3 linked regions of the Caenorhabditis elegans genome follow. The protein of the gene in region 1 interacts with the protein of each later gene in a pairwise test. Each region holds a gene or a part of one and is shown in the gene's direction. Other genes may lie near its edges.

What was found. Proteins that work in one complex are often made in the same cells at the same time.
Region 2: the proteins of gst-23 (region 1) and abu-7 interact in a two-hybrid assay, tested with the Caenorhabditis elegans proteins (one large-scale study listed by BioGRID).
Region 3: the proteins of gst-23 (region 1) and rps-8 interact in a two-hybrid assay, tested with the Caenorhabditis elegans proteins (one large-scale study listed by BioGRID).

What each region holds. Positions count from the first base shown.
Region 1 is NC_003283.11:3,238,678-3,246,546, forward strand, and holds gst-23 (Glutathione S-transferase), read left to right. Parts: upstream 1-4,606; 5' UTR 4,607-4,617; coding exon 4,618-4,752; intron 4,753-4,794; coding exon 4,795-4,882; intron 4,883-5,359; coding exon 5,360-5,763; 3' UTR 5,764-5,825; downstream 5,826-7,869. Other genes in the region: str-16 (Seven TM Receptor), read left to right, coding at 418-609, 765-1,133, 1,234-1,440, 1,494-1,671, 1,713-1,759; srj-11 (Serpentine Receptor, class J), read left to right, coding at 2,747-2,995, 3,037-3,143, 3,195-3,399, 3,450-3,638, 3,693-3,959; srj-7 (Serpentine Receptor, class J), read left to right, coding at 6,326-6,517, 6,562-6,728, 6,778-6,865, 6,911-7,027, 7,076-7,177, 7,263-7,358, 7,755-7,869.
Region 2 is NC_003283.11:5,160,586-5,168,734, reverse strand, and holds abu-7 (Activated in Blocked Unfolded protein response), read left to right. Parts: upstream 1-3,952; 5' UTR 3,953-3,975; coding exon 3,976-4,200; intron 4,201-4,247; coding exon 4,248-5,339; 3' UTR 5,340-5,465; downstream 5,466-8,149. Other genes in the region: srt-64 (Serpentine Receptor, class T), read left to right, coding at 94-193, 241-352; srw-140 (G-protein coupled receptors family 1 profile domain-containing protein), read right to left, coding at 1,494-1,710, 1,756-1,979, 2,038-2,632, 2,906-3,009; abu-6 (Activated in Blocked Unfolded protein response), read left to right, coding at 6,843-7,067, 7,116-8,057.
Region 3 is NC_003282.8:7,310,274-7,317,670, reverse strand, and holds rps-8 (Small ribosomal subunit protein eS8), read left to right. Parts: upstream 1-3,810; 5' UTR 3,811-3,811; coding exon 3,812-3,922; intron 3,923-4,015; coding exon 4,016-4,115; intron 4,116-4,165; coding exon 4,166-4,471; intron 4,472-4,517; coding exon 4,518-4,627; 3' UTR 4,628-4,713; downstream 4,714-7,397. Other genes in the region: F42C5.9 (PH domain-containing protein), read left to right, coding at 577-771, 1,226-1,449, 1,534-2,023, 2,072-2,332, 2,379-2,626, 2,676-2,823, 2,886-2,978; grl-4 (Ground-like domain-containing protein), read left to right, coding at 6,913-7,293, 7,348-7,397. UniProt on the Caenorhabditis elegans protein: Component of the small ribosomal subunit. The ribosome is a large ribonucleoprotein complex responsible for the synthesis of proteins in the cell. Part of the small subunit (SSU) processome, first precursor of the small eukaryotic ribosomal subunit.

The sequences.
Region 1 (7,869 bases):
GGTTTTAACAGTTTCTCCACTGGCGCTACTCCACCTTTACCATTCAAAAAACAATTATAACATACATTCTTTGTAACAAGTATGCATTTTTCGAGTTATCGTATAGTTATATAATTTCCTGTGCGGTTTTATCAATTATTTGTTCCATTTGCCTAGACCTAATATAGAACGATCACTCTGAATACCTGTAGCTCCTCTCACATGTTTTACGATAACGCCTTCTAGTAGTATAGTAATTTCCTGTTCATGTTGTTGGTCTGAGAAGTTCAGCGACGATAGATCAGATTACAGTAGGCATCTTACATGTGCACGCCCATCATAGCCAAATTCAAGAAATAGTATTCATTCGTTTTAGTTTTCGCTCACCTACACCGTGCTTGGTTACAAAATTTTAAGAAAACATTTTCAGCTCTCAAAATGGTTGACTGGCTTCTGATCGATCAAACAATTGCTCAGCTTGGCTTTTACACGACCACAACATCCCAACTTACTCTGATATTTCTGACGTTGTTCTTTGTGAGAAAGGATTTAGGTCCATACAAGTACCTGATCATCTTGTTCTCCGTGTTTGGAATTGCGTTTGCAAGTTTCGAGTTTGTGTTATATCCGGTAAGAAATGTAAATCGATAAAATATTTTTCTTTTGCATGACTGTCCACCGATTAGAGTGTATTGAAAAGGCAGCATAGTAATAGCAAAGTTCGGGCTCCTTCATATGTGCTCCTCCTTAGTTCTTAGTATCTTCTTACAATGAACATGTTTCAGGTCCTCCACTCCTACAACTCTGGTTACATATTCTTCACCTCAAGCCGCCCCCTGAACGCTTCAAATGAAGTCATGAAGATCATGCTGGTGCTGTACACCGCCATGTACTCTACCACGATCTCCCTTCTGGCCGTTCAATTTCTCTACCGATACTTTGCGATTTTTCACGAGTACTACCTGAAGTACTTCAAAGGCTGGTACTTCCTAATTTGGATCGTCTACGCTGGATGGTTCGGATGTCAGTATGCGATTGGGTTTCTGGTGTTCAACGCGGTGGATGAGTACTCGGAAGAGTACATGCGACAAGAAATGCATGACGTGTACGGGCTCAATGTAGCGGAAGTTCCATGTGTGATTCATGTGATCCATGTGAGTCATTTTTTAGAACACTTCGTAAATAACTAGTGGTACAAAATAGCTTACTTACACGGCTCTGCGCTTTTTTGATATAAATTTCTGAAATTTCCAGCAATCCATTCCCAACTCAACCCATTCCGTTATTCGCTGGCGAAACGTCTTTTGCACATTCAACGTCACATTCATAATGGTTGTTCAGTACGGAATTATGATATTCTGTGGATATCAGCTGTATAACGAGATGGAGGAGAAACTGAGCATGCTGTCAAAACAGATGAGAAGACTTCATCGACAAATATTCAAGACTCTCATGTTACAGGTAACTTTATTAGAAAATTATAAGAAATCTAGGTATTTAAACTATTAAATCAGATAACCACGCCAACAATTGTCCTGTTCTCTCCCATCGTTTTTGTGATCTACCTTCCGTGGCTCGATTTGGAGCTCAGTGTTCCCACAGGAGTCTTCTTGTCTGGATTCACATTGTATCCAGCGCTTGATGCATTCATCCTGATGTACGTCGTCACAGACTATCGGCGAGCGTTCAAAAGTGAGTGAAAATGGAAAAATTTGTCTAGAAAATATTTTCAGCTGCGTTCCAAATCTACAAACCATCCGGAGCGTCGTCACAGCAATAATTCGTTCAAAAACAAAAGATTGCAGTTTTGTTACGTGATGTGGAATGTGCTCTGAATCATTTGTAGATGTAGTCAGAAAAAAGTAAAACAGAGATTTCTGAACTATTTTGTGCCGAAAGATTTCACGCTTCTAAAATTTACTTGTAGTTTTTAATAAACTTATTTGTAAGAAAATCAGAATGTTTTCCGAACTGCTGTTTGAAAAATTTTGTTCTAATGACGTCCCACAAGAATGATTTCTCAGCACAGCGTTTTGGCAGAAAAGGAAAGTTTGAGGTTCGTACATCGATGTCTGCGCCAGTATTGGTAGGCCTACCTTTGAAGAAACTCATGCCTGTCTCCGGCCGTCTGCAAAAAATTCCATAAACAAGTTAGCAATACAAAACCCAGAAGATGTCGGGTGCTGCGGAACCTAGAAAATGTCGGGTATTGCCTAACCCAAGTAATGTCGGGCCTAGCTGAACCCATGAAGTGCCGGGCGCTGGTGAGCCCAGAAATAATTTCAAATTTTCAGACAATTTGGCGGCAAGCAGGTCTATGTGTACCTGAGCCTGCCTACTAGTTTGCCTGTCGGCCTATCGAAAATTCCAAACTTGTTTGAATTAAAATTTTGAAGCCCGAGTATTGTAAAAAAAAGTAACCATATTGGGGAAACTTTTAAAAAGTTAAATAAGTACGATACTTTTGCTCTCACGACAAACACATCAGCAGGTTGACTCATTAGGCTTTTTTGTATTTTCATCTTGATTCTGGTCTTCCAAGCGTTTTACCAATCCTACATTATTACTCATTTAGACTTTTTGAACCAATCTAAGTCCCGAGCACATTACCTAAATGATTGTTAATCCTATTGCATATCTGCGTAGGGCTCGAAAACAAATACAATTAGTATTCCTTCACACTTTTTCTGATTCAGATACAATCTGCTTTATAAATTATTAACACAATCTGAATATTCACAATTTCAGAAAGAAATTCAGACGGACTATGTATATCCACTGGTCTCACCATTACCTTCCAAAATTGTTTGGAATTTTGTCATTCGTGTGTAATCCAATTTTCATTTGCTTGATAGCCACCGAAAAGAAGGCTTCGATCGGGAAGTATCGATATCTTTTGATAGGGTTTGCAATTTTTGATATGGCTTACTCAACTGTAGAGCTAATCGTTCCCGTAGCAATTCATGGTACTGGGGCAGCTTTTGTGATTTACCTAGCTGACGGACCATTTTTTGGGGTGAGTTTGAAAGCTCTACACACCAAATGATTGAACTTCAGACTGGGAAGCTTGGCCAACTAGCTGTCTCAATTCGATGTGGGTGTATTTCTCTTTCATATGGAATCCTTGTCATTCACTTTATCTATCGGTATCTTGTGCTATTTAAGTGAGTTTTATTTTTATTTTTCACGTAAATCCGAAAATTTAAAAATTATAGCACCCGAATAATCGATCGACTTCTCCGGCCGTCCGGGCTATTTGGTCTCTTTGTATTTTTTGTTTTTCACGGAATAGCTTGGAGTTCTGTCTGCGAGATGTGTCTCTATGGAGATCAAGAAGTGTTCGACTACATCTATGACGCTTTTCAAAAAGATTACCATGTGGATTCACATGATTTATCCATGCTAATGGCATTGTTTTTCGTGAGGCTCGAAAAGAGCAAAGAACCAACACTAACCCCTTAAAATTTTAGGATGCAAGTCCCGAGATCAAAAGAAGAAGCTGGATTGGAATTCTGCTGCTGACTGGAATTTCGATATATGCAATTTCTCTATACGTTATTCTTGGATGGAAGATTATGAAAAAGCTGGCGGATAATCCAGGGGTTTCTGCAACGACTCAGAAATTGCATAGACAGTTATTCAAAGCCCTTGCAGTTCAGGTATACATGTTTTTAAAGAGTTCAGAAAAAAATTGTTTAACTAAACATTTTCAGACTTTCATCCCGATCTGCATCAGCTTCTCCCCTTGCATGATGGCCTGGTACGGTCCTGTAATCGGATTGGATCTCGGAATGTGGAACAATTATTTGGGCGTCATTGCACTGTCAGCGTTCCCTGTTCTAGATCCACTTGCTATCATTTTCCTCCTACCCAACTACCGGAACAAGCTTTTTCGCACTGTGAAAATGCCAATCAAATACTTTTATTCTGGAACATCGACTGTCCGACCCAACGTGGATAATTCAGCTCAAGTTTATTGAAAGTTTGAGGAAAAGTGTTGTCCAAGTTGTTATAAAATTTCTTATTTTTTTCCATAAATATTTTTCGCAACGTTCTTTTTTAATCAATGTGAAAGAGTTTTATTTGCATTTCTCGAAATACATGTTTGCTTTATAGATTTTTTCAATAGCCTGCGGACATTTTCAACGTGTCCCTCTTTTCTTACCAAGTTTGCAGACAGCTTACACTTTCTTCGTTTTTTTTTGGTTTTTAAAAACAAATTATTCTCAATTTAGTACTGTAACTTTTTGAACAACTTAGCACTTTTATAACAATGTCGTTAAGTTTGAGTTGGGATGATAGTTCTAGAAAATTATTTTGTCAAGTTTGGAGAATTCTTGTCGATGGGATTATTTTTGATCAATTACAGGAAAAAACCGTATAGAAATTTAAAATCAACACATAAACCTTACTAATTTACAGTTCACAATCGCGTCACACCCCTAACCCGATTATATTTTCGGTTTTTATTGCCGAAAATACAACAACACATGTATGAATTCGTATAGTTGCCCTCTATTATAATATTTTTGCATTTATGTTTTCCCAAATTCTCAAAAGTTTTATTTTTTCAAATTTACCGGAATCATAAAATTTACGTTTTTCTAATTTGGTTTTTCTAATTTATAGACCACTTCGATGACACTCAAGCTCACATACTTTGACATTCGTGGGCTCGCGGAGCCCATTCGGCTCTTGCTCAATGACCAGGAAATCCCATTTGAAGATAACCGTATCAGCCGAGAAGAGTGGGCCGAAATGAAGTCAACCATGGTGATTCATAATTTTTGAAACTATAAAAGTAGAATTTTCCAGATTTTCGCTCAATTGCCGTGTCTTCATATCGGAACTGAAACGATTGTCCAGTCAGCAGCGATTCTTCGTCATCTTGGACGGATTTATGGTGAGCAATCAGAAAATTTACAGTTTTGAAATAAAAAATTCATTCGAATTGATGAAAAAGAAAAAGCCTGTCAAATTGCTTATTAATTGTTTTGATAAATGTTTTGTTTTGAAAAAATCGTTTTTTTTGAGTGAAAATTTTTTTGATTTTCTCAAAATAAAAATTTTCAAAAAAACTTGCAGAATGTATACATCCGAAATCGTATAAAAATTATCTAAAAGTAGTCTTTTGGAGCAATTCTAAACGTCGTCAAATTAGTCAATAAATTGTTTTAAACTTTTGGCTTTATAGTTAGCTCTTCTAGGCTGACTTAATGCGTTTTTGATTACAATTTTTTTTTGATCTCAAAATATCAGTTGGAGAAAATAACGAAAAATATATTAACAATTGTTTTCCCGGCTGTTGAGTTAACATTTTGCAAATCTTATTTAAAATTCAATACAAAAAGAAAAAAAAACAACATCTAAAATTTCTCAGGACTCAATGGCTCCACTGAATCAGAGACCTCATTCATCGATATGTTCTCCGAAGGGCTCCGCGATCTACGCACCAAATATTTCACAATGATCAAGACAGACTACGAAGATGGCAAAGAAGCATACATAACTGAAACTCTTCCCGGGGAGCTACTACGAATTGAGAAGTTGTTCTGCACATTTAACAACGGCGAAAACTTTGTGTCCGGGGACAAGCTGAGCTATGCAGATTATGCTCTATTCGAGCTTCTCGATATTCACCTCATCCTCACACCAACTGCTCTAAATGGCACCCCAGCACTGAAAAGATTTCATGGACGATTTGCAGAGCGGCCCAATATGAGACTGTATTTGAATAAACGGGCCGAACTAAATCCATTCGTCAGTGGAAATGGGAAACAATAAAACTTTCGGATTTTTTTGTGTTAAATTAATTTTGCAATACTAATAAAACTTGTTTCAAATAACTATTGTTTCAAAAAGCAAAACTCAACTGTGAAACCATTTTCAAAAAATGAGCTATCAAAATTTCGAGTACTTAAAAATTAAATTTTTTTAAAGTTTTTTGAATTAACTTATCAAAGTCTATAGGTTTCACGATAACCTACTGCATATAAAACATTGGGTCCTGACACGAAAAACCAATGTAGTAGGAGTAAAACGTTGTTTGAAAATTAATACAGGTGCTGTTTATGAATCAGACCCTGGAGAATACAGATAACACCCACCTCAAGTCTGCTCAATGACGCTATCACACATGGAGGACTTTTTCGACCCTTTTCAGTGTGTTCCTTTGCAAAAACGGAGTTACCATAGCAGACAAATATTCAAGTCACAAAACACATAGTGCCCCAACCCCAAAGGAGTATACTATTTTACGAGAACTCGGCATTTATAAGAAAAACAAGAGGGGAAAACACTTCTACATCTCTTCATCGAGAAGATCCCATTATTTTTCAATACAACTATGATATATATGAACTGGTACCATCAAAATGTTCCCAAAATTTTGGGAGCACTAAGCTTCCTGGTGAACCCAATATTCATATATTTGGTAGTGACCAAAACTAAAACTCAAGTGGGGAGCTACAAGAATCTTTTGATAATGTTCTCGGTCTTTGACATTCTGTATTCAATATCCGAGATTTTAACTCCATTGGTAATTTACCGTAGGTGTGAATATATTTTAATGAATTTGTCTAGGGTGTACAAGGCAACAAGCATGGATTTGTGGTTTTTATATCAGACGGCTTGTTCTTTGAATATCCAGAACTTGGTCAGCACGCAATGTCGAATCGGTGTGGGTTCATTTCCATCAGTTATGCCTTATTGATCATCCATTTTGTCTATCGGTACATGGCCTTGTTTTAGTGAGTCAACTATTTAGGCCTGAAAATATTTGAACAGTGGCTATTTCAGCCCGCACAAGCTTCATCTGTTCTTCCGGCCGATTGGTATACTATTTTTAACATTGCTCATGTTGTTTCACGCTGGCTCTTGGACTATGGTGAAAGCTTCCAGAAAATAAAATAATTAAATGTAATTGCTTCAGATCTGCCAGAATTGCCTTGCGGCCGACGACGAAGTTAGGAAAATAGTGCGCTCGTCGTTCATAGATCAGTACGGAGAAGAGTCCAATGGAGTTCCAATGTTGGCAGCTCTCTATTGGGTATGTCTAAAACTAGATTAAACTCAGAAATTTAAATTTCCTTTTTAGGGTGTCCGTCCAGGTATCCAATTTCGCAGCTGGCTTGGAATCATTCTTCTTACTATTATTTCATGGTACTCAATGGCGGTTTATTTTGTTCTTGGGTATAAAGTAAGTTTGCGAAGTCTAAGCCTCAGCATAAGCTTAAGCCTGAGATTAAGCATAAGTAAAGCCCAAAGTAAAAAAAGTATTTCAGATAATTCACAAAATTCGGTGCATGACTATTAATCGAACGTTGAGTGCAACTAGTTTACGACTTCAGAGGCAGCTTTTTGTGACTTTGGTTGTACAGGTAATTCTTGTAAGATTTACATGTTTCTGTGCTTAATTCGGTTATATTATTGATCAGACCAAAATTTAAAAAAACGAAAAACAAACCTGATAAAACATATAATGTGCTCTAAACACAGACTGATCAATCTCCTTTGAGTGATTAGGTTACTATCGTCTTTGTCTTGTCAAGGGATTTACCCCTATTTTTACATGTATAAGTTGAGTTTTGAAAAACAGAAACAAACCAATATTTCTTCTAATACTTTGGTGACCCCAAAAATTCTTAAATTGATTTTTGTGATAGCATAGTCTAAACAAAGGTTGAAACATAAAAAACTAAAGTAAATGAAAGCTTCAGGTAAATAGATCAACAATGGGATATTCAAATTACTTATTCATTTCTTCTATATTTCAGACCTGCATCCCAATTGTCGCAAGCTTCTTACCAACTGTCATCTCCTGGTACGCACCAATTTTCGGAATTGACATTGGTTGGTGGAACACAAACGTCTCCACAATTGCACTAGCTG
Region 2 (8,149 bases), 1.9 Mb from region 1:
AAAAGGATCTTTAGTCTTTCTATTAAAAGCAGAAAGCTTGTGGGAAATTGGAAAAATAAAAATCAAAATCAAAATAATTAAATCATATTTCAGAATCCTGGTTCAAAATGACCAACTACACTCTGGCATCACTTAACTGTGTCTGGATTTTATTTTCCCATCTGAACTTCATCCTTCTTGTCTCTACAAACAAGTAACCCAATCAAAGTTTCCGGTTGCATCACATAAAATCATTTTCAGAGGTGTTCGGAATCAGATTCTCAGACCATTCTGCTCAAAAAATCGGTCTAGACAAACGTCGAAACTTGTTCCATTGTCGCACGTTAGTTCAACAATGCCCGTGGAAAAATGAATGACACATATATCATATGTATATTGTTTCTTGACGAAAAAAATGTAACTGATCAAGTGCACTAAATGCTACCTAATATGAATATTTATATATCTAAAAGAACACTGTTTTTTTTTAAATAAAGAGAAAGAAGCTTTGAGTTAGCAAAAAAATTCAATTGATTAATCCTGATTTTTGATTTGATTTACATCGTAATTAATAAAAAGTTAACTGAAGTGGGTGAACACATTTTCATGCCATTGTCAGTTTTTATAACGAGTTACAACCCATTCGACATCAAGCTAAATAGACCAAACGAATTTGTATTTTTTGTTTTTTCTTTGGACACTTGAAAAACTTTTTCTAGTTTTTTTCTGATCTTTTTCAGGGTGGCGCTTACCTAATTATTTTTCTAGCCGTTGAAATTGGTATTGTTTTGTTTATTCTGACTGATCATCAAAAAACCAGTCGTTCGCACGCGCTAAACCTATTGGTCTCTTTTTTATTTCATTTATACACAAAAATAAAATTCGAGAGACGACAGAGAATACAAAACATGAAATATACATATTCGTACCTCTTGGATTTTTTAAGAAATTTTATTACACATTTGGGTTATTCAAAAGTCGGATCGTTCCATCAAATCACGTTAGTCTTGTTGTAGTCGCCCATTTTTGAGAGTCGTTCTGCATTAAAGCCAGTCTGGGCAAAGTTTTTTTGGGAGAACATCCACAAAGAACCAAATTCATAACGCATTCTCTATACTGAGAAGACATTAACAAACAAATGATAAAGTCGATTTGCCGAACTTGCCGAACTTGCCGAGCTCGGCAAATTTCGAAATTTGCCGCGCACACCAAAATTTGACAATGCAATTTTGACCAAAAGTATTGATTTTGTCCCCAAAAATGTAGTGAAAGAACACAAATTTTTTGATGTTATTTTTATGTTTAAGCAGACACACCACCTGGAACTTCAAACACAGCAAAAATATCACATTTTCAAAGTTTGTTACGCACGGCAATTTTGCCGAATAAAATAAAATATATAGACATTTGCAGAGACGCTGAAATAATTTGGTAGTAAGTGCACTTTCACAATTGTTTCAGAAATTTTCTACGATTTTTTTATTTATGGGTTATTGAACAGTCGGTCCAATACATTATGATAGTTTTGTTGTAGCCGTAGCCCATCTCCGGGAGTTATTCTGAGTTGTCGTCAGTCTGGTCAAAGCTTTTTTGGGAGAAAATCCACAAAAAATAAATTTCATAGCGCATTCTCTATATTGAGAGGACATTAACAAACAAATGATAAAATGACTTGAAAAATTCGCATAGAGAATCACGCTGAACAAAAACTCACAGAAACGTATAATTACACTGAAATGATATACTACCAAAATAGTAATTTTCGACTTAACTTACAATATTCCTTGAATGTCATAAAACAAATAAGTCAGAAACGTGCTCACGCCAAGTGGAAACTCGGCAATGAAAAACATTGCCGTGAGGAGTAGAACTAAACGAGTTGTCTTCTGTGATTCGGTCGAGTTCTTCGTAGATGATAGGCTTTGTCTATTTTTATTCACTTTTTTGAGTTCTGACACAAGAAAAAGTGTGAAAATAGGATATACAAAGCATGGAATAATCTGAAAATTAAAATTTGTAATCTTTTAAAAAACTCGAGAAAGAAAAGAAAATTAGTACATTCGTCATAATTGCATTGCTTGTCGTAGCGACTTTAAGAAGAGCCCCATCATTATTTGTAAACGCTTCGACAAAATCCATATAATATGTTACTCTTCCATTTGGAAAGCATAAGCTTTTTCGTATGATTCCCTTAATTGTATATTTCATCAAATTAAACACAGTGATAGGAACGTTAACTAAAACCATTATAGATATTGCATAAAACGCTCCAATAGGGTTAACCAGCCTCATATACTTTTGATTAAGAGGATTTTTCATGACAAGAATTCTAAGTAAAGCTATTGATAAGCAGAGCCAAGTGGAACAACGTCGTGAATAATCTCTCAGAGCTTCCAGCACTAAGTTAAAAAGAACCCATGCATATGAGCCTGATTGGAAACAATGGGTGTATAGAAAAATAATGGATTGAACAATTAGTTGCATTTCATATAATAAAGTGCAAATATCGAAAAATGCAATTGCAGCCATAATGATGTTGACAGATGAGTTTATCATCGGTTTTCTGGTGAGAATTATAAAATGGAATAGGTTTATTGAAAAGCTCACAGCTGCTACTCGAGATTCATTTTCGAATACTGTGTTGTAATAAGCTCTGAAATAAATCTTTTTAAATTTCACCCTTTTTTTGGGTTTTCCGGTTATTCCAAAAAAAAAAAAACGTTTGTCTCTACAACTTTATCTTGAACCAATCAAAGGCGGAATCGTATCTGTGAGTTTTTTTTTGAAAAAGACAGAAAATAGTCTCAATATACCAAACTGTACAGCGATCGAAACGTTAAAATTTTATGATAATTTTCTCTTTGAAATTTGGTAATTTCGGCACATTCCAAAACACAAATGAATATTAAAAACGAATAAAACAAACCCCAATCCATCAGCAATCCGACATAGAAACAGGGCCGTTGATGTTTGAATATTTGGATAAAAAACCTCAATTTGACTACAAAACGACATGTCTTGTTGAGCCATGGCCTTAGACTGAACATTTCATATATGACATGTTCATATATGACATTTCATATATGAACTCATTCAAAATGTTGTCGATGCCAGGTGGTTCAAACAAATTATATTAATTTGAAAATGTAAGACCACTTGATTGAATAAATTGAAATATGACAAGTAAATAGTCGCTTTTTTTTCGAACATCAGTCAGAATAACTGAGACAAGATTGAGTCATACATAGCTACGCTGAGTATTGCTAATTAGCAAAATACCAGTGCTAATTAGCTGTTGGTTTTTGGTTATGATTTTTTTGTTTTCACATATTTGAATCCTATTGCGTATTTTATTTGATGTTATTGTCATACATTTGATAACTGTGTGCCATTAAATTTTACAATAGTATATTTTTGTCACAACCATTTTCAGAATTTTTTCCAGAAATATACGGTAATCGGAGTACGCGCTTTGCCACGTAGAAATTTGATTTTAAAACTTTCAAAATGAAAAACAATTTTAATTAATATTAAAGAAAACATTGAGAGACGTCAATGTCTATACTTTTTCAAAAAAAAACACTTCCTTCTAGTAACCTTACAATAACATGTGCTCTAGTTTTCTCGCTGGCGCTACTCTACCTTTAAAAAATATACCCACAGACGAACAGTGCATACTTCAAAGCACAATAATCACGACTAAAATTGTGCAGGTTATTAATATTTGAATCACAATTCTTTTGCGCGTATTGAGGCCATTATTAACGCAAACTAGGCAGATTCCAAACGAATGCCAGACGATTTTCCGTTTACTCAAGTGTTTTAAAAGTTTCGATGCACATGCACCAGTTGAACGGAAGTTTTTTACCAACGCTTTGGAATGTTTGCTCGGCGGAAAGAGGGCGGAAAATGAAAAAGAGTTAGAAATCAGTATATAAAAGTGAGTCTGCAAGATAGTTTAACCATCCGATTTCCTCTGTTCGAATCATTACTAAAATGCGCTTTACTTCACTTGCCATTGCCTTCCTTGCATGTGCCCTTGTGGTATCTGGAAGTGTAATCCGTGAAAAGAGACAGTGTGGATGTGCTCAGCCACAGCAGAGCCAATGCTCGTGCCAACAAGTTCAACAGACTCAGTCATGCTCGTGCCAATCTGCTCCAGTTCAACAACAATCCCCATCCTGCTCATGCGCTCAGCCACAACAAACTCAACAAGTTCAGGTACAGTTCATTAACATATTCGCAAACCATTAAATCAAAAATTTTAGGTTCAATCTACTCAATGCGCCCCAGCTTGCCAACAGAGCTGCCAACAGCAATGCCAGGCTTCTCCATCAGTGTCCCAGTGCCAGCCACAATGTCAGCAACAGTGCCAGGCTCAATGCACTCCAATGTACAACCCACCAACCACTACTACCACCACCCAAGCTCCAGTTGTCCAATACCAACAGTGCCAACCAGTATGCCAACAGCAATGTCAATCTACCTGTGTTCAACAACAACAACCAGCAGCTCAATGTCAGCCACAATGCCAACAACAATGCAATGTTGCCTGTGATTCCCCATCCACCACCACCCAGGCCCCACAAGTGATTCAAATTCAACTTGAGATCCAACAAGCTCAAGCTCAATGCCAACCACAGTGCCAGCAACAATGCCAGTCCTCATGTGTCCAGCAACAACAGCCATCGACCCAATGTGAGCCAGCCTGCAACACTCAATGTTCTGATATCTGCCAACAAACTGCTCAGGCTACCCAACAAGTCTACAACCAGAACATGAACCAGAACACCAACACCCAAATGTACAACCCATACAATACCAACACCAACCAGAACGCTAACTGCGCTCCAGCTTGCCAACCAGCCTGCGACAACTCCTGCACATCCCAACAGGCCCAGCCAGTGTACCAACAAGCCCAGCCAACTTACCAAGTCCAGCAAACCACTGCCGCTCCAATGTACGATCCATACAACAACCAAGGATCTGCCAACTGCGCTCCAGCTTGCCAACCAGCTTGTGACAACTCCTGCACATCCCAGCAGACTCAACCAATGTACCAACCATACGACACCACCACTGAAGCTCCAGCTCAAGTCATCCAGATTGTTCTCCAGACTTCTGTTGCTCAATCATCCCAATGTGCTCCACAATGCGAACAGTCCTGCCAACAGCAATGTGTTCAGCAACAACAGCCAGCTGCTCAGTGCCAAACTGCCTGCCAATCATCATGCTCTAACTCCTGCCAAACTGCTCAACCAGCAACTACTGCCTGCCAACAGAGCCCACAACAGAGCTCCTGCTCCTGCCAAGCTAACTACTCTCCATGCGGAAATGGACAATGCTGCCGCAGAAAGTAAGAAAGACCGAATCGATCGATCGAAGATTTATGGGTATCAATAGTCCATTGTTGCTCAAAATCTTTTTTGTATATTTCGAACACCATTTTTTCTTTGACTATATGATAAATAAATCATTTTCAATTATTCTACAGTATACAATAATAGACAAAAAAATGTTGATAGACCTGTACCAATCTAATTCGAATGTTTTGTTCTTCAAATTAATGATATACATACTTTACACGTAATCGAATAAACAGAAATCAGAAAACGTGATGATTAATCTATTGTTCTCTAGTTTTGATCAGTTGGAGTGGGCGCAGAAACAGCTCGTAAGCGTGAAGAGCCTCTTTTCGGGTGGGAAAATGATCTTTGCACAATTGCCGACGGGGCAAACAAATATTACGAATAGATCAAAAAGTTACGCCGATCAGCTGGAGAGATATGGTGAACACTTTCACGATACTATTTTTAAAACGAGTTTAATTCGTTCATACAAGCTTATACGAGTTTACTGTTGAAAGGTTCTACAGTAATCAGAGAAATTTCGAGTTTAACAAATAATGAGACTGACAAATATCTTCTGAAACAGTTTCTAGCAGATACAACTAAACATTTTTTGTGTCATATTCATCGAACGCCCTATCAACCTGATAAACATATTAATCTTCCGGGAAATAATTTGATAGCGTATTTATTAAAGTTGCATTACGTTTAAACTTTCCAAATTTCAAATTTCAGAAATTGCATACAAATAAGAACAAGAGAGGATAACAAATTATGTTCAACCAAATTAAAATGAGAAACTAAAATTTCAAAATAATTTAAGTATTTTTCAAATCGAAAATTATTTTTCTAGAACACGTATTTTCTCAAATTTGGCAAATAACACATTTGTTGTCTACATTCTTCCCAAGCTGTCAAATTGCAGCACGATATAACAAGTTGTCAGTTAGAAACTAAACGCTCACTTGTCTCAACTTCATAACCAGTCATTTGTAAATTTTAAATAAAAAGAGGTATAGTTCGCCACCGATAGAATAAAAAAAGATACAATAATTTCAAAATTTCCATAGCAGTATAGATTTGAAGGAAGGCCGCAAGCTGAATAAAACCTAAAATAAAATATTTCCGAAACTTTAAGAAAACAAAACAGCGTTAAAAATTCACTTCAGATAAACGATTCCGTAACATAATGTAGATCAAGGAACATCACATTCCAAAATTAAAGTTTCCAATTTGCAACATACCAGTTTTCACCTTTTTCCTCGACACACGTTTGTTTGATTAGAGAGTTTATTCTAATGCTCACCGCACCTTTTTTTACACGAACACTTTTTTATAAGGCAAACAGTTTGGCCGGAAAGAGAATGAGAGACACATAGACGAAAAGTGAACGGAAGAGCGGAAATCAAGAAGTTTCAGGTCTGGTACAGAGGGTGGGGGTATGGGAAAGTAGTATAAAAGAGAAGAACAGAGCTTCATTATCATCCGATTTTCTCGGTTCGAATCATTACTAAAATGCGCTTTACTTCACTTGCCATTGCCTTCCTTGCATGTGCCCTTGCGGTATCTGGAAGTGCGATCCGTGAAAAGAGACAGTGTGGATGTGCTCAGCCACAGCAGAGCCAATGCTCGTGCCAACAAGTTCAACAGACTCAGTCATGCTCGTGCCAATCTGCTCCAGTTCAACAACAATCCCCATCCTGCTCATGCGCTCAGCCACAACAAACTCAACAAGTTCAGGTACCTTTTATGCATTTATTTCAAACACTACTAAATTAATGATTTTAGGTTCAATCTACTCAATGCGCCCCAGCTTGCCAACAGAGCTGCCAACAGCAATGCCAGGCTTCTCCATCCGTGTCCCAGTGCCAGCCACAATGTCAGCAACAGTGCCAGGCTCAATGCACTCCAATGTACAACCCACCAACCACTACTACCACCACCCAAGCTCCAGTTGTCCAATACCAACAGTGCCAACCAGTATGCCAACAGCAATGTCAATCTACCTGTGTTCAACAACAACAACCAGCAGCTCAATGTCAGCCACAATGCCAACAACAATGCAATGTTGCCTGTGATTCCCCATCCACTACCACCCAGGCACCACAAGTGATCCAAATCCAACTCGAGATCCAACAAGCTCAAGCTCAATGCCAACCACAGTGCCAGCAACAATGCCAATCTTCATGTGTCCAGCAACAGCAACAGTCCAACCAGTGCGAGCCAGCTTGCAACACTCAATGCTCTGATATCTGCCAACAAACTGCTCAGGCTACCCAACAAGTCTACAACCAGAACATGAACCAGAACACCAACACCCAAATGTACAACCCATACAATACCAACACCAGCCAGAACGCTAACTGCGCTCCAGCTTGCCAACCAGCCTGTGACAACTCCTGCACTTCCCAGCAGACTCAACCAATGTACCAACAATACGACACCACCACTGAAGCTCCAGCTCAAGTCATCCAGATTGTTCTCCAGACTTCTGTTGCTCAATCATCCCAATGTGCTCCACAATGCGAACAGTCCTGCCAACAGCAATGTGTTCAACAACAACAGCCAGCTGCCCAGTGCCAAACTGCCTGCCAATCATCATGCTCTAACTCCTGCCAAACTGCTCAACCAGCAACTACTGCCTGCCAACAGAGCCCACAACAGAGCTCCTGCTCCTGCCAAGCTAACTACTCTCCATGCGGAAATGGACAATGCTGCCGCAGAAAGTAATTTAATTGTTCCTGATTCTTGATTTTTGTATATACCGAAACAATTCAGTTTCAATAAACGCATAACTTTTTAAAAAGTGTCTTCCAGAATCT
Region 3 (7,397 bases), on another chromosome or scaffold:
ATACTGTCGTGATTTTGAAAATTTTCACCACAACTTACTACAAAATTGTCAAACACCTATTTTAAAATTTTTCGAAAAATCCTCACAGGTACGGTAGCTGAAAACTTTCGCTCCAAGGGTTATTTTGTTTCTCCAAATTTTCTTCAAAAATCCATGTGACTTCCCGTTCAAATTTCCATTTTCACCCTCTCCTCAAATTGCGTTCCGTTGTTGTCTCCAAACATACCAAACCAACACAAAAAACCAACGACGACAAGTTTCAACAAAAAATGCAACCGGAAACTCTGCTCTCTCTCCCTAAATTTCTCAACTTCTTATTTCAAAAGAACGCCCTTTTTTACTAGTACGATTCAGTGGTTTTTTATTCGGATTTCGAAAACTGATACTTTCTTTCCGATTTTTCGTATTTTCTCCTTTTCCCGCCCTCTCCATTTTCCAATGTTTTATAGCCAGGCAAACATGTTTTATTGAATTTTCCCTATGCATGCTATTTTTTCTATTTGCTTTGATTGTATGTAGCTTCAAGTTGAAATATTATTTTTTCTACCAACTTCTCGTTTTTTCCAGCATATTTCAATGCCAGATTTGGAAATCAACGGAGTTGAAATGGAAAATGGTGTTGGAAGATCAGACAGTTTGAAAGCTGAAGAAGCAAATGCTCTGCGAGAATGGGATCCTAAGCATTTACTAAAAGCCCTCTACGAAATATCATATGAACCACGAGTTGAAACAAAAAGAAATCGATTTGTGACAATGGAAGGACATGTAGAGGTAAGCATTCGTAAATAAAGAAATTACCTTTGCTGTAGTTTATTTTGACCCGCTTTCTCAAGGAGTCTCCAAAAATTGTATGTAATACTCAGTAAATGCTCCTTTGCACGGAAATCTTTAGTAAAAGGCGAAAGATTTTCACGGTTAAATGCAGAGGAACCAGAGTTGATTGTGCACCTCTAAATTGGAACGTGATGAACTCCGTGTACGGACATCTGGCGGGTTTCGCTCACCACGTTGGGGAACGTAGTGGGCGGAGTTTTTGCTTGGAAATTTTCAGGCCTAGAAAAAACAAAAACAGTGATCACATTCCAGAAACCAAAACTCCTACGTCCAAAAGCTATTCAAAAAATATAAAATAGTTTCTATTCATAATAAAAAATAACAATTTTAATTATAATCTCAACTGATTGAGAAATTGGAAAAAACTATATTTTGAGCTATTTCATTCCAGGTCCCAGCCGACGAGGTCACAAAATCAGACGGTCTAGATAATGAAGGATGGATGAAGCAGTACATTCGAATGAAAGAAGGACGTCTTCAAATCTTTGCATCTCACTACGCAGGAGAAGCTCCAGCTCAAGAACTTGTGCTCTCTGGAGCAGATGTAGATGCCAATAAGGATGAGAGAACTTTGACTATTCATGGAGGAAGGGAACATGTTAAATACTATTGCAGGTTGGTAAATTTATGCTTAAAAGTTTCACATTTTATAAAAACCTAATTGTTTTTAATTTTTCCAATAATTTATTAAAATTTCAGAGTTCCATCAGCAGTATTCGACAAATGGCGTCAATCATTCCTATCACACTGTGCATCTTCTCTAATTGATGCCTATGTTAAACCAATTCCAAGAGCATTCCAACATTTAACTGAAAGAATTTTGATTCTTGAACTTGGTTCATGCTCAATCAGAGCCGGTGTTCTTACAACAGAACCATCACTTCCACAATCATTCTTCCCAGCCATAGCCGTCCGAACTGATGATGGAAAGATTTTCGTTGGAGAAGACGCTTATAGGCCGGAAATTAGACATAATGGTGATTTTGTTCGACCAATCTCTGCTACAGATCCATCAGTGGAAAGATATTCAATTGATAAAGATGTTCTGAAAGCAGTTATTGGAAAAGTAACAAAGGAATTGAAAGTTGAGCCATGGAAATATAAAGTTTTACTTTCAATCCCTCAAAATATCCCAACTGTTTTGATTGGAGAATTACTCCAGATTTGTCTTGAAGATATCAAATTTCAAGTGAGTTATCGCTGAGAAAACTTTTTTGTCTAAAAAATAAACTTTCAGTCGGCAGGAATCACTCGTCAGCCATCACTGATTCTGTATGCTTATGATGTTACAACTGGAGTTGTTGTCGATATTGGAGAAAGAGTTAATATTGTTCCAGTAATTGATGGATATGTCGTCGAATCGGCCATTTGTTCAATTCCATATGGATCACAGCAAATGGGAGATTCGTTAAGAGCATCATTAAGTGCTCATAACAAAGGATTATACGCTTTTCAAAGTCCTGTGGAGAAGCTTATTTTAAGATTTGCACTGGAACAGGTAAAATTTAATCGTATTAATTTTCAAAAAAATACTTGAAGTTTAGACTACCTACGTACCAGAGGATTATCAAAAAGAAGAAAAATCAGAAAATAAAGAAACTAGAATCTCATTAGATGCTTTCACACCATCACCTGGAATGCAGACCCGATTCGATATTGATAACTCCAGATTTTTATGTACGGAAGGACTATTCAAGCCAAAGAAATGGGGTCTTGACACGAAAGGTCTCCACCAATTGATCCACGAGGCAATTCTTCAGTGTCCAATTGATAGTCGTCGAACACTGTATAGGTAAGAATCGTTAGTTTTCTAAAATTTATGACCAAAATTATGCTTTCAGAAATATTTATTTGGCTGGAGGAGCATCTCTTATGCCAGGAATTGCTGAAAAACTCGAACAAGAATTATCTACAGTAGTTCCAAACACAATTCACACTCAAGTTAACATCAGTCCATGGCGGTATAACGCAGCATATCTTGGAGCCCAAGTAAGCCCACCAACTAAAAAAAAACCAACTAATAGAACAACGGTAAAATTTTAAAATTTCAGATCGTCGCATCAGCCTCCACATTTGAAGACTCCTGCATTTCTCTTCAACAGCTTCCAAAGTTCCTTGCACAGCTCCAGTCATCGTCTTTCTGAAGCTTCGACCTGAAAAATAATGATTTCGTTAATTTCTTATGATTTCACTGACCAACCTGAAAATTCCGCTTTAGAGGCTCATTTTCCTGCTTTTTCGAGAGTTTTCTTTAGACCTTCGTGTACTATTCGCTTTTGTACAATTATTTTCCTTTTGTTTTATCGATTTTATTTGTCCGAGAGCTCTTTTTTACATATTTTTGTGATACTGTTGTCGTAATGTTTTCCCCGCAGTTACTTTCGTTAAAAGTTATGTCAGACAGTTGAGTCGGCTAGCAATTTTAGCTAGACAAATTTATTGCATCATAAACATTTATTTATAAAGTTTTTTTGTTTTTTTTTCAAATCAATTGAAGAATTCTACACAAAAACAGATATGATTGGAATTTTATTTTTTTACAGCGAAATATTGACTAAGTAATTTGATAATTTCAACAAAAAATGCAGATAATTTTTGTCGAATTTCTATAAATCTTTAATGTAACAAAAAGAGCACGAAAATCATGTGAAATAAAACACTTTTTTAAAGGGACATGGCATTTCACGAGTGAAGGGTCTCGCCGCGATCTCTCATCTGCAGCAGCCGCCGCTCTCTGTTTACCACTGTGAATTTTTAGGCCCGATTTTCTTTTTCTATTTTTTCTTCAATGTTTCTGCTTTTTGTTAAATTTTCTCGAAAAAATCACTGAAAAATAGAAGAAAATCAATGTTTTAATCACTTTATTGTGTTTTGAAAAATTTAATGTTCGAATATTTTTGTTTCGAGAAGGAAACTCTTTCATTTATCGTATTATGTATTTTTAATTCATTTTTGTTAAATGTGAAACGTTTTCAGCATGGGTATCTCGCGCGACTCTTGGCATAAGCGCTACAAGACCGGAGCCACTCAACCGGTCCCTCACAAGAAGAGGAAGTTCGAGCTCGGACGTCCAGCTGCCAACACCAAGGTAAGAGCTGTTTAATTTTTATTTTATTTACCAGGGATTTGGTTGAATCAGTAAAATTAAATTTAAAAAAGATGATCGCGAAATTACTCTCAGATTGGAGCCCACCGCGTTCGTCTCGTTCGCACTCGTGGAGGAAACGAAAAGTACAGAGCTCTTCGCCTCGACTCCGGAAACTTCTCCTGGGCCTCTGAGCGTAAGTTTCGTTATTATACTTTATAAACCGTTCATATTCTGATTTTTCAGAGACTACTCGCAAGACCCGTATCGTTGATACCATGTACAACGCTACAAACAACGAGTTGGTCCGTACCAAGACTCTTGTCAAAGGAGCCATCATCAGCGTTGATGCTGCTCCATTCCGTCAGTGGTATGAGGCTCACTATGCTCTCCCACTTGCCAGAAAGAAGAACGCCAAGCTTTCCGAGGAAGACAACGCCATCCTCAACAAGAAGAGATCCCACCACACCATGAAAAAGTACACCGAGCGTCAAAAGACTGCTGCTGTTGATGCACTCCTCATCGAGCAATTCAACACTGGACGTCTTCTCGGTAAGAAAATTCAGAAATTTCTTCAAGTTTAATCATTATTTTTCAGCTCGCATCTCTTCTTCCCCAGGACAAGTCGGACAAGCCAACGGATACATCCTCGAAGGAAAGGAACTTGATTTCTACCTTCGCAAGATTCGTGCCAAGAAGGCCAAGTAAATGCCTTTTGTGGTTGTTTTCTTGTTTTTGTTACATAAAACATAAACGAATTGTTACTAGAAATTTGTTAATAGCACATTTGGAATAAGGTTACAACTGCAGGGATTTTATGCATTATTGTTGGGCGAAGGATATACAATGGTGATTCTATTATTAAAGATGTTCCTGACAGACAGCCCATGGGTCTAAAGGAATTTCAGTTCGGTCTGCAAAGGATTGCTTTTTAATAGAGATGTTCTCGGGAAGGCTGAAGTAGTAGTGATCAGAGATGGGCTGGCCAGTATGACATGAACATTTTTAATACATCGAGAAGAGTTTCGTTCTGGATTAGTATGAGCTCATAATGCACAGTTTCAGAAGCGCCTTAAGTTATAGGTACAAAAGCAGTTTGAAAAGTTCGTGGTGTTTTAAAGTCTTGTTAATTCGAATCTGGCAATGTCGAGAAGGAAACTAAACGTGGATGCCAAAATATGATTTTTAAAAGTAAAAAGCTTTTCTCATTTATATTCCGACTCATTCTGACTTCGTTGAAATAATGGAGGAAATAAAAGCAGATCAGGATAGACGTGGAAAAATGAGATTAAGATCTTACTGTACTTTTTAAAGGCGCACGCAAATTTTCAAAAAAGTTTGTTTCGTTTCAAGACCGAGGATTCTTCGTTTGTTCCATGAAAATCAAATGTTAAATTTCAAAATTCGGTTCCTAGATTTCAAAAAAAATGAAGAAAAATCAAAAGAGTTCGATTTTTGGAAAGTTATGACGTCATAACTTTCCAAAAAATCATATATGACTAAAAATTGTAATTTTTTCAACATAAAATTAACCAAAAATACGTATTGTTTTCTAGATTTTCGTTTTAGTTTTTTTTGAATCACCTCTAAAAATTATAAGATACCGTATTTCCTCTATAAGTAAGGCATGCAACACTAATTTTCGGACACCTAATTTGATGCAAAACTAATGGAGGAGCAAAACTAATTTTTGAACAGGTTTTTTCTCATGTTTTCCATTAAATTATGGCATAATATCATCAATTTCAATAACAACTTATGAACCAAAATGGACGAATTTTACGACTCATACGCAAACATTGTCCGAGTTGTACTCATATTTTGCCAATTTTGACTTATTATACCAAGTCTGTAAAAGTTTTCCTAATTTTTAGAACGATTTTGTAATGCAAATTTTGAATTCCTAAAAATAGGGAACAAATGAATGGGAGCAAAACTATTAGAGGTGCGAATCTGATAGAGGATGCAAAACTAATTTTCGATTAGTGATTTTAGATGCAAAACTAATGGAGGTGCCTAACTAATAGAGGAAATACGGTAATAAAAAGTAAAGATGCTTCCAAGGATTACTCATACCACAACCAGTTTCCAGATCTTATGTATGCATCAATTTCAATAGGAAAATGAATAAAGTAATGATGTGCGACAAAATTTACCAAAGGTGTCAGATAACCTTGAATGTGAACAATGAAAGTTCACTTGTGATTAGCATTTTCCAAATCATTTCAGATTCTCAATTTCCAGTAAATTTCAATTGTCTGAAAATTAAAAAGTTTAACTTCAACAGAAATCGTAAAAGAAAAAGAAAAAGCAATCGGATTCACCTACTCGTCTCCTATAATTAATAGGTGACGTAACACGATTACTCATCATCCAATTCAAAAAAGGAGGGAGAAGCTGTGTGAAACCAGTTCTAGAGGGTCAAATTCTCGACAGCAATGAGGTAATGGAGGCGGTGCCAAAAGATGTCAGGGTCAAAATGGCAAAAAGGTATATAAGGTATTGATGATGATCAAAAGAAAATGCCATCTTCTTTTCTTTGTTTCAATTCAAAATCTTATTGATGAGATGAGGACAGATGCCGATCACAAACCCTTTTTCATTTTATTTTTCAAACCACTTGTTTTCTGGAACCAAGTGATCTTATTACCTAGACGCGAAGGTCTCGGCACGACACATTTTTATGAAATGCAAAAGTGTGTGTGTGCGCCTTTAGAGAGTACCGTAAATTCAAACTTTCATATCAGTGGAATTTTCGTAGCTTTTATCAATATTTGGTATAATTTATGTACGCGTTTGTATTGTTGTTTTCGAATTACAAAATTAAAACACACCTTTTTTTCAGAAAACTTCGCAGAAAATTTGAAATTACAGCATCCGAGACCGGGTACTATAATTTCGGCGCAAAGCTTCGCGTCTGGGTAATATTTAAATCCAAAATCCCTCAATTCGGAAAATTTTCTTTTTTTTAATCAAAAGTTTTTATTTTCCAGATGCTTCTGCCCATTTCAATTCTCTTTTCAATCATCCCTATAGCATCTTCAACATTCGGAGGATGTTGTTCAATGGGACCACCACCATGTCCTCCACCTCCACCACCAATGTGTGCACCTCCACCTCTTCCGTGCCCTCCACCTCCAATCTGCCCACCTCAATTCTGTCCTCCACCACCGATGTGTCCTCCACCACCACCTCCACCACCACCGCCGATGTGCCCACCGCCACCACCACCGATGCCATCATATTCCCCATGTCAATCATATGCTCCAGCTCCGGTATTCAATCAATATGCCATGCAACCAGCCAACGATTGTTGCTGCAGATGTGGAAGCCCATGTAGATTCATGGCTAGACATAGAACTCATGGATCAAAGGTACGTTTCTTTGAGATTTCATCTAGACTTTGGGAATAATTGTTTTTTGTTTAGCTGTTCACCACTGAGGATCCAGAGGAAGATCCAACCTGCAACAGCAAGAA